Arabidopsis thaliana: one gene and its partner. The protein of the gene in region 1 purifies or fractionates together with the protein of each later gene. This does not show direct contact. Each region holds a gene or a part of one and is shown in the gene's direction. Other genes may lie near its edges. The genes, in order: AT3G04600 and AT1G44835.

The links.
Region 2: the proteins of AT3G04600 (region 1) and AT1G44835 fractionate together in Arabidopsis thaliana (co-fractionation; one large-scale study listed by BioGRID). This does not show direct contact.

The regions. Positions count from the first base shown.
Region 1 is NC_003074.8:1,241,285-1,247,012, forward strand, and holds AT3G04600 (Nucleotidylyl transferase superfamily protein), read left to right. Parts: upstream 1-1,644; 5' UTR 1,645-1,765; intron 1,766-1,848; 5' UTR 1,849-1,867; coding exon 1,868-2,088; intron 2,089-2,163; coding exon 2,164-2,283; intron 2,284-2,372; coding exon 2,373-2,558; intron 2,559-2,792; coding exon 2,793-2,844; intron 2,845-2,946; coding exon 2,947-3,012; intron 3,013-3,093; coding exon 3,094-3,180; intron 3,181-3,369; coding exon 3,370-3,462; coding exon of another isoform or gene 3,463-3,466; intron 3,467-3,532; coding exon 3,533-3,613; intron 3,614-3,863; coding exon 3,864-3,935; intron 3,936-4,249; coding exon 4,250-4,318; intron 4,319-4,424; coding exon 4,425-4,535; intron 4,536-4,623; coding exon 4,624-4,674; 3' UTR 4,675-4,927; downstream 4,928-5,728. Other genes in the region: AT3G04590 (AT hook motif DNA-binding family protein), read right to left, coding at 1-319.
Region 2 is NC_003070.9:16,937,910-16,943,208, forward strand, and holds AT1G44835 (YbaK/aminoacyl-tRNA synthetase-associated domain-containing protein), read left to right. Parts: upstream 1-1,891; 5' UTR 1,892-1,999; coding exon 2,000-2,038; intron 2,039-2,385; coding exon 2,386-2,445; intron 2,446-2,543; coding exon 2,544-2,597; intron 2,598-2,692; coding exon 2,693-2,753; intron 2,754-2,882; coding exon 2,883-2,959; intron 2,960-3,248; coding exon 3,249-3,298; intron 3,299-3,401; coding exon 3,402-3,484; intron 3,485-3,584; coding exon 3,585-3,655; intron 3,656-3,742; coding exon 3,743-3,896; intron 3,897-3,992; coding exon 3,993-4,123; intron 4,124-4,196; coding exon 4,197-4,271; intron 4,272-4,356; coding exon 4,357-4,428; 3' UTR 4,429-4,614; downstream 4,615-5,299.

The DNA.
Region 1 (5,728 bases):
TCCTCTTTACCGGCTCCATCGGCGCCGTCACAGCCGAGGACGGAACTGAATGAGGGTACACCGCGAGAGAAGATGACCCATCATTAGGCTGGTGCTGTGGCTGAGGCTGCGGAGGGAAAAGCCCATTGTTGGAAGATGGAACGGCGTTTCCGGTAGAAGCGGTGGTTGCTACGGTGGTTGGAAGGTGGTGATGGTGCTGTAGTTGGTGGTGGAAGTAAGGAGAAGTGAGTCGTTGCTGCTGCTGCTGTTGCTGTTGCTGTTGGTGGAGGTGATGGAGCTGTTGTTGTTGGTGGTGATGGTGGCTTTCGTTAGGATCCATTCCTTTTTAGAGAGATACGCACAAAAATAAGAATTTCTAGAGAGAGAGAGTTAGGGATTTTTTTTCATTTTTTCTTTTTGCATTTTTTTTTGTTTTCTTTTAGGGTTTTATTATTTTATACTTATATATTAATCGATAAGAAGGAAGATGATGAGATAGAATCTCAACCGTTAGATCTTCTAGATTTGACTTAAGATGTTTTTGACTTATGTGTGTTAAAGCATCTCTTCTTTTTACCCTTTTTTATCTGTTTTTATTTCTCGAGGAAACAGAAATTTAATTTTTTCAGAGGGAAACGAAAGATCACTCACTCACCTTCTCAGTTTTTCACTTTTCTCTAGTCATTTAGTACATGGTTGATTTAACATATCCTCCAATTTCAAAGAAACCATGATTTGAATGATTAAAAGAAAATGATAAAGTCAATGGGGGTGTAACAAAAAGATTGAACTCCTTTTTCAACTTTGCATTCGTCAACATTGGTATTCAACAAAGGCCTTTAATCACTAACCAATACCCCGGTTAGGCCACATATTCACTTTCTTCCTAAACAAGCAACAAAGCATCAAACAAAGGGGAAAAAAAGACTTTGTAACTGTTTGGAACTCAATGATCTGTTTTGGCTAGGAGATTGCATAAACGGATGGGATTTCAAGTACTGAAAAATGTAGCTAGCACAAAATGAACTCCATAAAAACTCAAAGGCCGGCCTTTTCAGATTTAATGCATCTTCAAGTCTTGTATTGACTAACCGAAGCATCCTTTAGAGATGAAAAGACCAATGAGAGAATCAAACGTCCCATCACTCACCACTCTTTTTTTTTTATCTCTTGACATATCTTGTTTAGTTATAAACATCATCAGAATTTTCTTCCATCACTAAACAACACTCCAAAAACTTCTCCCTTCTTCTTCTTTCTCAAATTCACAAAACATGATTTTCATATCTAAAATCTTTTAACACCTATTTTAGTGCATAAACTAATCAACTATTGGATTATGAAAATTTATGAAATTATGATAACATCTTATAGACTATGGAAAGATTATTAACGGATCAGAAAGAAAGACGAAGAAGATATTCAATAAACCGGACCGGTGCATTTAGATGATGAATGAACTTCTAGTGAAAAAGGCAATCATGGCGTCAAAGACTTTGATTAGTGATACAATTGAAAAAATTAACGAGAGGGGGATATTTGTTCTCTCTAAAAGTAAAGGGATAAATGACGATAATTGTTTTAATTTTGGGCCAGAGAGAAAGGGGTAATGTGTATATCTAAAACTTGACGGCAAAATTGACAAAAATAAAATATTCTGACTCCCAAATAGTAATAAATATATGACTTAAACCTCGTTTTGTTCTTCGTCAGTCTAAAGACTATCTCCAGTCGCAAAACCACCGCCGTATATCCACGGCCGTCTTATCACCGGCAACAACCGTAGGTACTTGGATATAACAATTTCATTCAGCTCTATTCAGCTTGTTTGCTAATAGGATTTTGAATCTGACTTCTGTTTTTGTATAGGTTTTTGTTTTCCGTCGCGATGGAGGTGGATAAGAAGGACGAGAGAGAGGCTGAATCTTCGGAGCAAGTGGTGAATCCATGGGAAGTGTCCGCCAAAGACGGCGGGAAGATCGATTACGACAAGCTTATTGACAAATTTGGATGTCAAAGGCTTGACGAGTCACTGATTGATCGTGTTCAGAGACTGACTTCTCGTCAACCACACGTGTTCCTCCGCCGTAGTGTCTTCTTCGCCCACCGGTTAGACATTCACTGTTTTAATTAATTGTGTAGAAATTTCTCGTCTTGCTTGTTTTAATTGTGAGGTTTTAACAGGGATTTCAATGAGATTTTGGACGCTTATGAGAGAGGAGACAAGTTCTATCTCTACACTGGAAGAGGACCTTCATCAGAAGCATTGCATTTGGGGCATTTGATTCCTTTCATGTTTACCAAGTAAGTGAGATCCTGGAGCTAGTATTGTCTTACCATGTTTACGGATTTGGTAGATTGTGCTTGCTCTTTATACTTGAAATGGTTTGCAGATACTTGCAAGAAGCTTTCAAGGTTCCCCTTGTTATACAGCTCACGGATGATGAAAAAAGTATATGGAAGAACTTATCGGTGGAGGAAAGTCAAAGACTTGCCAGAGAAAATGCGAAAGATATTATTGCTTGTGGATTCGATGTAACAAAGACCTTCATTTTCTCGGACTTCGACTATGTTGGCGGGTAAGTCGCATTCGAATCTTCTATGGAAATAACTAGCACCGCTCTTGCTTTGTAGAAAATATTGCTTGAAGAGCTCTTGGTAGTACATATAGTCTACATGCATGTAGCTCAATTTTTTATTTTTTTTTTGGCGAAGATTTGTAAGATCATATATTGTCCTTCGTTTTTTTTTTTTTTTTTGATTGATGTATCACAGTATATTTGGCTGATCATATGCAAAAACTTTGTGTGTAGTGCTTTCTATAAAAATATGGTGAAGGTTGGCAAGTGCGTTACACTTAATAAGGTGACTTTACTATCTATCTCCTTGAATTGCACAATGCGGCTGATATGTTGTATAGCTACTTTGTGTTTGTGGTTTTCATTTGTATATCTCCTTCTTTGCTAGGCTATGGGAATCTTTGGCTTTTCCGGTGAAGATCCTATCGCGAAACTCAGTTTCCCTCCTGTGCAGGTATGTCGTTTGTTCTGTTGGTGTGGCTATGTGTATTCTAACTGCATATAGACTGTATAATTGTTTTCCGTATATTTGCAGGCAGTTCCATCTTTTCCTAGCTCATTCCCACATTTGTTCCCTGGCAAGGACAATCTCCGCTGCTTGATTCCTTGTGCTATTGACCAGGTGTGCTGTTTTCTTACTTTTTATATTAACCTGTTTGCCTTTTTAAAAGATTAATAACTTCCCATTGGTATAAAAATGTCTGTGACTGCGAGCATGTGATACTTCCATCCATAATCAGTTTCTTTTATGTTTTCCATGTATCACATTTGTATTTATAACCAATCTTTCTTTCTTTTTGGTTTTGTTCAGGATCCTTATTTTAGAATGACTCGTGATGTCGCACCCCGGTTAGGCTATAGCAAGCCCGCCCTGATTGAGTCAACATTTTTTCCTGCGTTGCAGGCAAGTAGTTTCTTAAGTACACTACACATTCCTGATTTACACAACTAATTGCCTTGGTCACTTTACGCAGGGAGAGAATGGAAAAATGTCTGCTAGTGATCCAAATTCTGCTATCTATGTGACTGATTCCGCAAAGGACATTAAAAACAAGGTAAATTCTGTAATTCTTTTTGTTCTTTCCATCTATTATAACAAGCCATTCTGGGTTTCCACATCAACCTTGTAGGCTTTCACACACATTCATCGTCTAGATTGGTTGCTACTCGAGTCCTTCCACTCGTTTTTTTCTTTTGCTGGTGTAACGGCATCTGAAACACGTTACAGAACATTAAATACCAGTCCTAATAATGAACTCAGACACTTTCGTCCAGCATTTAAACTTGGTATGGTTTCATATGCAGATAAACAGATATGCGTTTAGTGGTGGGCAAGACTCCATTGAGAAGCACCGAGAACTTGGAGCAAATCTCGAGGTACCAAATTCCTTGTATCCTCTTCGTCCCTTATTCTGTATTATGTAGTGGCAACTCTCAGCTGTGTTCCTTATGCGGTAATATCCGGTTGAAAGTTAAGAATGAATATTCACTTTGTTTAGATTGTGTTCCTCAGAGTACTAGCAAGCCAACAAAAACTAACCCCTAACTCAGCTGGAAATGTAGAAGGACTTGCTATAAACTAATTGACTAGGAAAGAATTTTAAATCAGTTGCGGATTCTTGATAGTTGATCTTATCGGTTCTGGTGCTTTAATTGTTCTTTTGGGGTAATCTCCCTTCTACGTTTTATAGGTTGACATACCCGTCAAGTATCTGAGTTTCTTCCTCGAAGACGATTCTGAACTAGAACACATTAAAAAGGTAATAATAACATCACACTTAGTCGCTAGCTTGTTATACAGAGAAGGAAGAATGTGTTGTGTGGATTTTTCATAAAAGTAAAAACACAATGATTATAATGTTTCAGGAATATGGAGAAGGAAGAATGCTAACAGGAGAAGTAAAGAAGAGACTTACGGAAGTGTTGACAGAAATTGTGGAGAGACACCGCAGGGCTCGAGCTGCTGTTACTGATGAGGTAAAAAGATCAACTAAATTTGTTGGTGTCAATCATCAAGATTCAAAATATCATTTGTACTAAGTGATTCGACAAATTTATGTTCCAGATGGTTGATGCGTTCATGGCGGTGAGACCTCTCCCAAGCATGTTCGAATAGAAAAAGTCAGAAACCCTTTTTGGCTCCTCAGCAACTTCACATCACTCCGTTTGATTTGGATTCAGACATCTTTGGGTGTCTATTGATAGATTTGATCCTTGAAATTGAACCATACTTGTTAGTTACAATTTTCATATTTACATTTATTTATGAATCACATTCTAAAATGATTTGCATTGTTAATTGAATAAAGTGAAACTACAAATTTATGAATTTTTTTAAAAAAAAGATATAACAAAAATTACCTACCTCAATAGAATTATATATTACAAGATCAAAATAAAAGAATATTAAATTTTAAATCAGAATATCAAAAAGAGACCAATTTTATATAACTGAGAAATAATAATAAAAGTAAAAAAAAATGATTTTTTGTTCATTTACATCAAATATCTAACAAAAGTAATTTTAATTAGTCAATTTTGATGGTAAAATAATGGTATAGTTTAGTTATGAAATCCAAAATCAATGATTAGTTTGAGTGAGAAAACTATCTATAGGTTGAGTTGGGCCTTTCTTTGCTTTATAATACTTGGGGTGGTTTCCAATTTAGTAGCTGGACTCAAAAAAATCAAAGAGGGCAAGTCCGTAAATAGTAGTAAATCCGAAGGGCAGAGTGAGAGCAAAAAGGAACTAAAAGACATAAATAGCCTTGTCGAGGAAGAAGGCAACGTGTAAAATGGACATCATCGGAGTAAGGGAAACCTAATGTCTCCCTCTTCTGCCCCTTCTGTAAATTCCCAATCCAACCCTTCTCTCCTTCCTCCTCCGTCTTTGCCCCTTCCCCCAATTTCTTCTTCCCGATTCTCTCCTTTCCCTTTTTCTTTTTACCCGCCAAAATCACATCCACCTTCACTAACGGCTCCTTCCCCAATTTCCATTTCCCATTTCATTCATACTCGAAACCCTAGATTTCTAATTCCTGGATCGGTGCTTGGATCTTCTTCAGTTTTCTCGTGTTTTGGTTGATACCCAGAATTTGATTCAAGTGAGTTTCTCGATCTGAAGTTAAAGTTTCGATTTTTATTTGGATTTCTTTTCCTTCCTCTTGTTA
Region 2 (5,299 bases), on another chromosome or scaffold:
GTTTGTTTCTCATAATTAGGGTTTCGTTTTGCGGACACTTTACCTCTAAAATGGCTTATAGCATCTCCAACCCTACTCTATTTTAGAGTCAAAATGCAAAATTCTTCTCCAACCCTACTCTATAATTGACTCAAAAATAGAGATTTCTACAGATTGACTCTATATATAGAACAACTCTATCCTCAACTCTATTTTTGAGTTCAATTTTTTTATTTATACTTTAGTCCCTCAAATTTAAACTTTTTTTATTTAATGCATATAATCATTTTACAAACAACAATTACAACACATAGTTTTATAAACTTAACAAACAAACAAATACTAATTTTAATAGTTTTATAAACTTAACAAGAAGCAAACAAGTACTAAATTTAAAATAAACAACATAAAAAACTAAAACAAATATTCTAATGGTGTTAACCGTGTTATTTATAATAAATATTCTAATGGTGTTAATTAAAATAAAATTTGTAATGTTTTATTATTTTTATATGATGTAATGATTTTTAATAAATAATAAGTGTTTAATTTAAATAATTTCATATTTTATACGAATTTTGCAAATCTATAATATATGGGGTCAAATTTTAAATTATATAATTAAAAAGTATTAGTATATAAAATAGAAATAGAATATTTCTAAGAATATTCTTTTTTAGAGTAGAAAATAGAGATATACATTGGAGAAAAACTCATCTCTAAAATTGAGTTACTCTATTTTAGAACAAGATATAGAGCTATACATTGGAGATGGTCTTAATACATAGTCAAAATTGATTACTTATTTGATGAAAAAATATGGATTTCTTATTTTATTTTCTCATACCAGTGATTGTTTTGTTGTATTGGGGCTGAAAAGTGTTCTTTCAGCACATCAGAGAAAAAAGTTAAGAATAGTGTGTTAAGCAGTAACCATACTCTTTAAAGCCGTAGATTAATTATTCAAGAAATTAAAACAACTAATTAAACAAAAATCCTAGCAAAATCTATTTGAATGAACCATATCCAAATCCACAAAGTCAGTCCCCCAAATGTTGAAACACGTAAATTAAACACACAACAACAAAAATATAATTAATTAAACATAACTAATGATTTTTATAATTTACACAAAAATCAATCAATATTTTTTTAACTATTTTATATTCATTTCTAACTACTTTTATATTTATATGTTATTAGAAAATATTAATATATATATATTTTTTATCAACCACACATATATTAAAATATAACTCTATGATCGGCTGCCCAATTTAGAGGAGAAGAGTTTACAAAAATAACATCAGACAACAATAAACGAGAAAAACAGGTTAAACAATATGCTTTAGAATTACATAAACGGTAAAAATAAGAAATCGAACCAAGCGTCGTTAGCTCAATTGGTAAAGACCCTAGACGAACCTTAGAGGTCGCCGATTCGAGTGACGTTTGGGACGAAACTAATATTACATGCTGTGGTTTCGGGTCTGAGAGATTACGGGATTCGGTCCAGAACCTCCTAATATTTATAAAAAAAAAAATTTTTAAAATAAGAAATTAAAGCTCGGAACATTCAAACTCGTCTAATAGGTTGGAGAAAGCTGGTCAATCATCAGGCGAATACGCCACCGAGACTAAACTCTACACAATCAGTTTCAAATATCTACAATCAATCCTTCTTGTAAAGATATTTTTCGTAGCCCAAATTTATGATGACTTTTTTTTATTTGTGGTGCACCATTTATGACAACTTAAAACAGTTTAATTTTAAATTAAAAATTTGTATTTTCTTATGACCTGTGGTTATATGTTGGGCCTTTTAGGCATTTGCAAGTTAAGTATGGTCGTGGATTGAAAAGCCCAATGTGTAATCCTCTAGTTTACTAAGAAGGTTTAATGTTTTTCAATCCAGTACTGCAAAATCTGCAAAACCTAAACTTTCGTCTTCTCAACAAAATCTGCAGTTCCTTGCTCCTTTCTCAGTCCAAATTCTCTGATTTTTGATTTTTTCGATTCAATGGGTTTCACCAAAGATCAGTTGCTTGATCGACTTCAGGTTTCCATTTTCACCTTTAAACTCAATTACATCATTTTCATTTCGCATTGCTTTTGTTGGAATTTGTCAGATAAGATTAGATAAATCATTAGCAGAGAACGGAAAATGTTACTTCGTTTTATGCTTGATTCTATTTGAAGAAGTTATGTGTATTAATGGATTTGGATGTGTATCTATGGATTCCAAGTTATGTGTATAGTCGTCTTGAACTCAGAAGTTTTTCAATGTCTACTTTTAGATTCTAACCCTTAGGTCAAGAATTTTGGTGTTACACGTTTTGTTAGTGTCAATGTTAAAAAAATGTGGCAATGTGAATTGATGATTAAGGATTTGTATCTATCTTTCAGGAACTTGAGATTGATTATTCCAAGTATGAACATCCGCCTGTACTAACCGTCGAAGAACAGGTGAATATACCTTAAAATGTTTTAGATTTTTAAAACTTAAGTGTATGATGTTTAAAGATGGATTTATAAGGCTTTGTTTTGTGTATTTAAATCTTCAGGCCAAGTATGTTAGCAGTAGTAAGGGTGCACTGAGTAAGAATCTCTTCTTGAAGGTAGTCTTTCAAAGCGGTACACCATTAAAGGCATTATCAAGTTAGAGTATTAGTTGATTGTTAATGGTGCATATGCCTCTATTTTGTTTTTGCAGGACAAGAAACATCGGTATTATATTGTTTCAGCGATGGTGGATACGAAAGTTGACATGAAAGGTAACATATGTTTTCTCCTTTTTTCGTTTGTGGATATTGGCATAGAAGAAGTCTCTGGGCTTTGTGAAGTTTGAATGTTTTTTTTTTTGGATGTTAATGTGTGTTCCCTGTGACTTCTAATTTAAACAGTTTTATCTCAGAGACTTGGTCTTGGAAAAGGAGGGATTAGAATGGCTCCAGAAGAAGCACTTGGTGAGCTTTTGCAGGTATTTTTCATAGTCTTTTCCTCTGCTACTGTGTTTTGTTATATATATCTGGAAAGAGTTTTATTAAATGATTGTGCTGTAACATGGGAACCATGGTAGCGATAGTTTTTTTGACAATTGATAAGAAAAGTTTCTCCAAACCAAATTGCTTTAAATGATCTATTTATGCATGGTGATATGTTTGTTTTGCTTATCGCAGTTTACAACAAATCCACACGAATATATTGAACTTATTGTCATTCATGTTTACAATTTTTGACACTCGTGCTACTCTCTTTTTTCGTTAAAGGTATCCCTCGGATGTGTTACCCCGTTTGCAGTTGTAAATGAATCAGCAAGGTATTGTTTGCCTTACGGTATTGGTTCATATGGTGTTTTCCCTTCCAAGTTCCTAATTATTTCCATTGACTGACATTCTTTATTAAAACTTTCCATGTTAAAGAGACGTGTCTCTCTTGTTAGACCAAAAATTCAAGAACCAAACGCGTTGCATCTTCCACCCATTGTCTAACGATGTCTCAGTCTGTAAGTTCTTTCATTACAGACTTTTCTTTTATGGTTCAAAATAGTTCATAACATCAGATTTTAGCTTATATCTAATTTGGTTGGTTCCTATCATTTCCAGCTCTGAACACATTGGGTCTGGACAAGTTTCTGAAGTCGATTGGGAGAGATCCCGTATACGTTGACCTTGAGGCAAATACTCTAAACCTTTAACTTGAGAACTCATGTTCCACAGTTCCTTTCCTCAGGGTTAACCTTTTGAACCTTTTGCTGTTTCAGGCTAACCCGGTAGTTGGTAAAGACCAGGCTCCAGATCTAGCTGTTTGTGTTCCGTCTAATTCAGTTATTGTTCCCGAGATTCCTAATCAAACATCTTCTACACAAATTCCTCTTCCAAAAAGTGTGTCAGCAGAGGTCAAGCCTGTGGCTTCAGGTATGCCTGATTTATCAGTTTCTTAACCATGCGCTCCAAGTCTTGTTAAACCGTGAAGGATTGGTTTATATAACTCGGTTTTCTTCAACGGTGCAGCCAAAACGAGCAAGCCAGCTTGTAAGGTGAAGAGCGTCGCTGAAAATTCAGCTCCATCAGCTTACAAGAACCCGGAGAAATTTGTGCAGGAGATTTTGGACAAAACTTCGGCTCTATTATTGTCCGAGGTAGTAAACTCAATCCCGAAACTAAAGTCGATTTCGTAACATTTATAGATCAACTCTGAACCGGTTTTATATACAGGCTAAGGGAGAGTGCGTGGAGGCTTTGGCAGAAACACTAAGAAAACGACTTACCTCAGAGTTGACCCACCTCTCTGTGAGTACATTTCGATATACATGGTTCGCATCGGGTAAGACTAAGCCGTTTGTACTAATCTTGGTTCTATGTAAATTGATTGCAGATTATGTACAAGAACTCAGCGTACGCAGAAGGTTTTTATGCTGGTACACGCCACCAGCCGAAGCGATTGTAAGAGGTTTGGTTTACATGTTGAACCGGAGATATTTGGGAGAGAAACATTACCGGTTCAGCAATATATTTTCCTTCGTTGGACAGCAAATTTTAGATAAGACTGAAAATGATTACATTTACATGAAAGCTCGAACCATTTATTCACTTATTGTTGCTTTGTTTGTTCAATCAAAGATAAACCTTTTCTATATCCGAAAACTGAATTTGAAATTCGAACAAAACGTAAGAAAAACATTCATCTAAAACTTACGATTTTCTGGAATAAAAGAAATATTCGGATATTTCATATACTAAAATAAAAGGTTTTGTGTAAAAAACTCTAACTCATTCATTTTTGCAATTTTACCCTCTATCTCCAACAAATGCAAATTAATCATACATAGTCTAAAATAATAGGAAATATGACTTTTATATGTATATTGCAAACGTTTTTATACTCACCTATATTAGGTTTTAGAAAATTTGAAAATATAGTTGAACTTGGTTTTAGATTTTTTGAAGGAATGTTACACATAGAGGCACTTTCGGAGAAACTTAATTCACTTTATACACTTTAAAAACTAGAGGCACTTTGCCTTGCTTTTGGAGTGAAATAAGACATATTTACCCCCACTAATTGGTAAGAGATATTACTACAAACCGGTTTGTGGTTTCGTTTGGTTTTGGTCTAAAATATACGGTTAAAATGGTCGGTTTAGAAAAAACAGTTTCCACGTTATGACGATCGTCGGATTTCATTTAATTAAACGGCCGTGATTAATCATTGTAACTTCCCTTGCTTTTCGACTAAATTCAAACTGACACACGAGATCCATTGAAACACATAAGATTCTGGGTTTCGATCATCGAACTTTGGCCAACTGTCGTTTCCA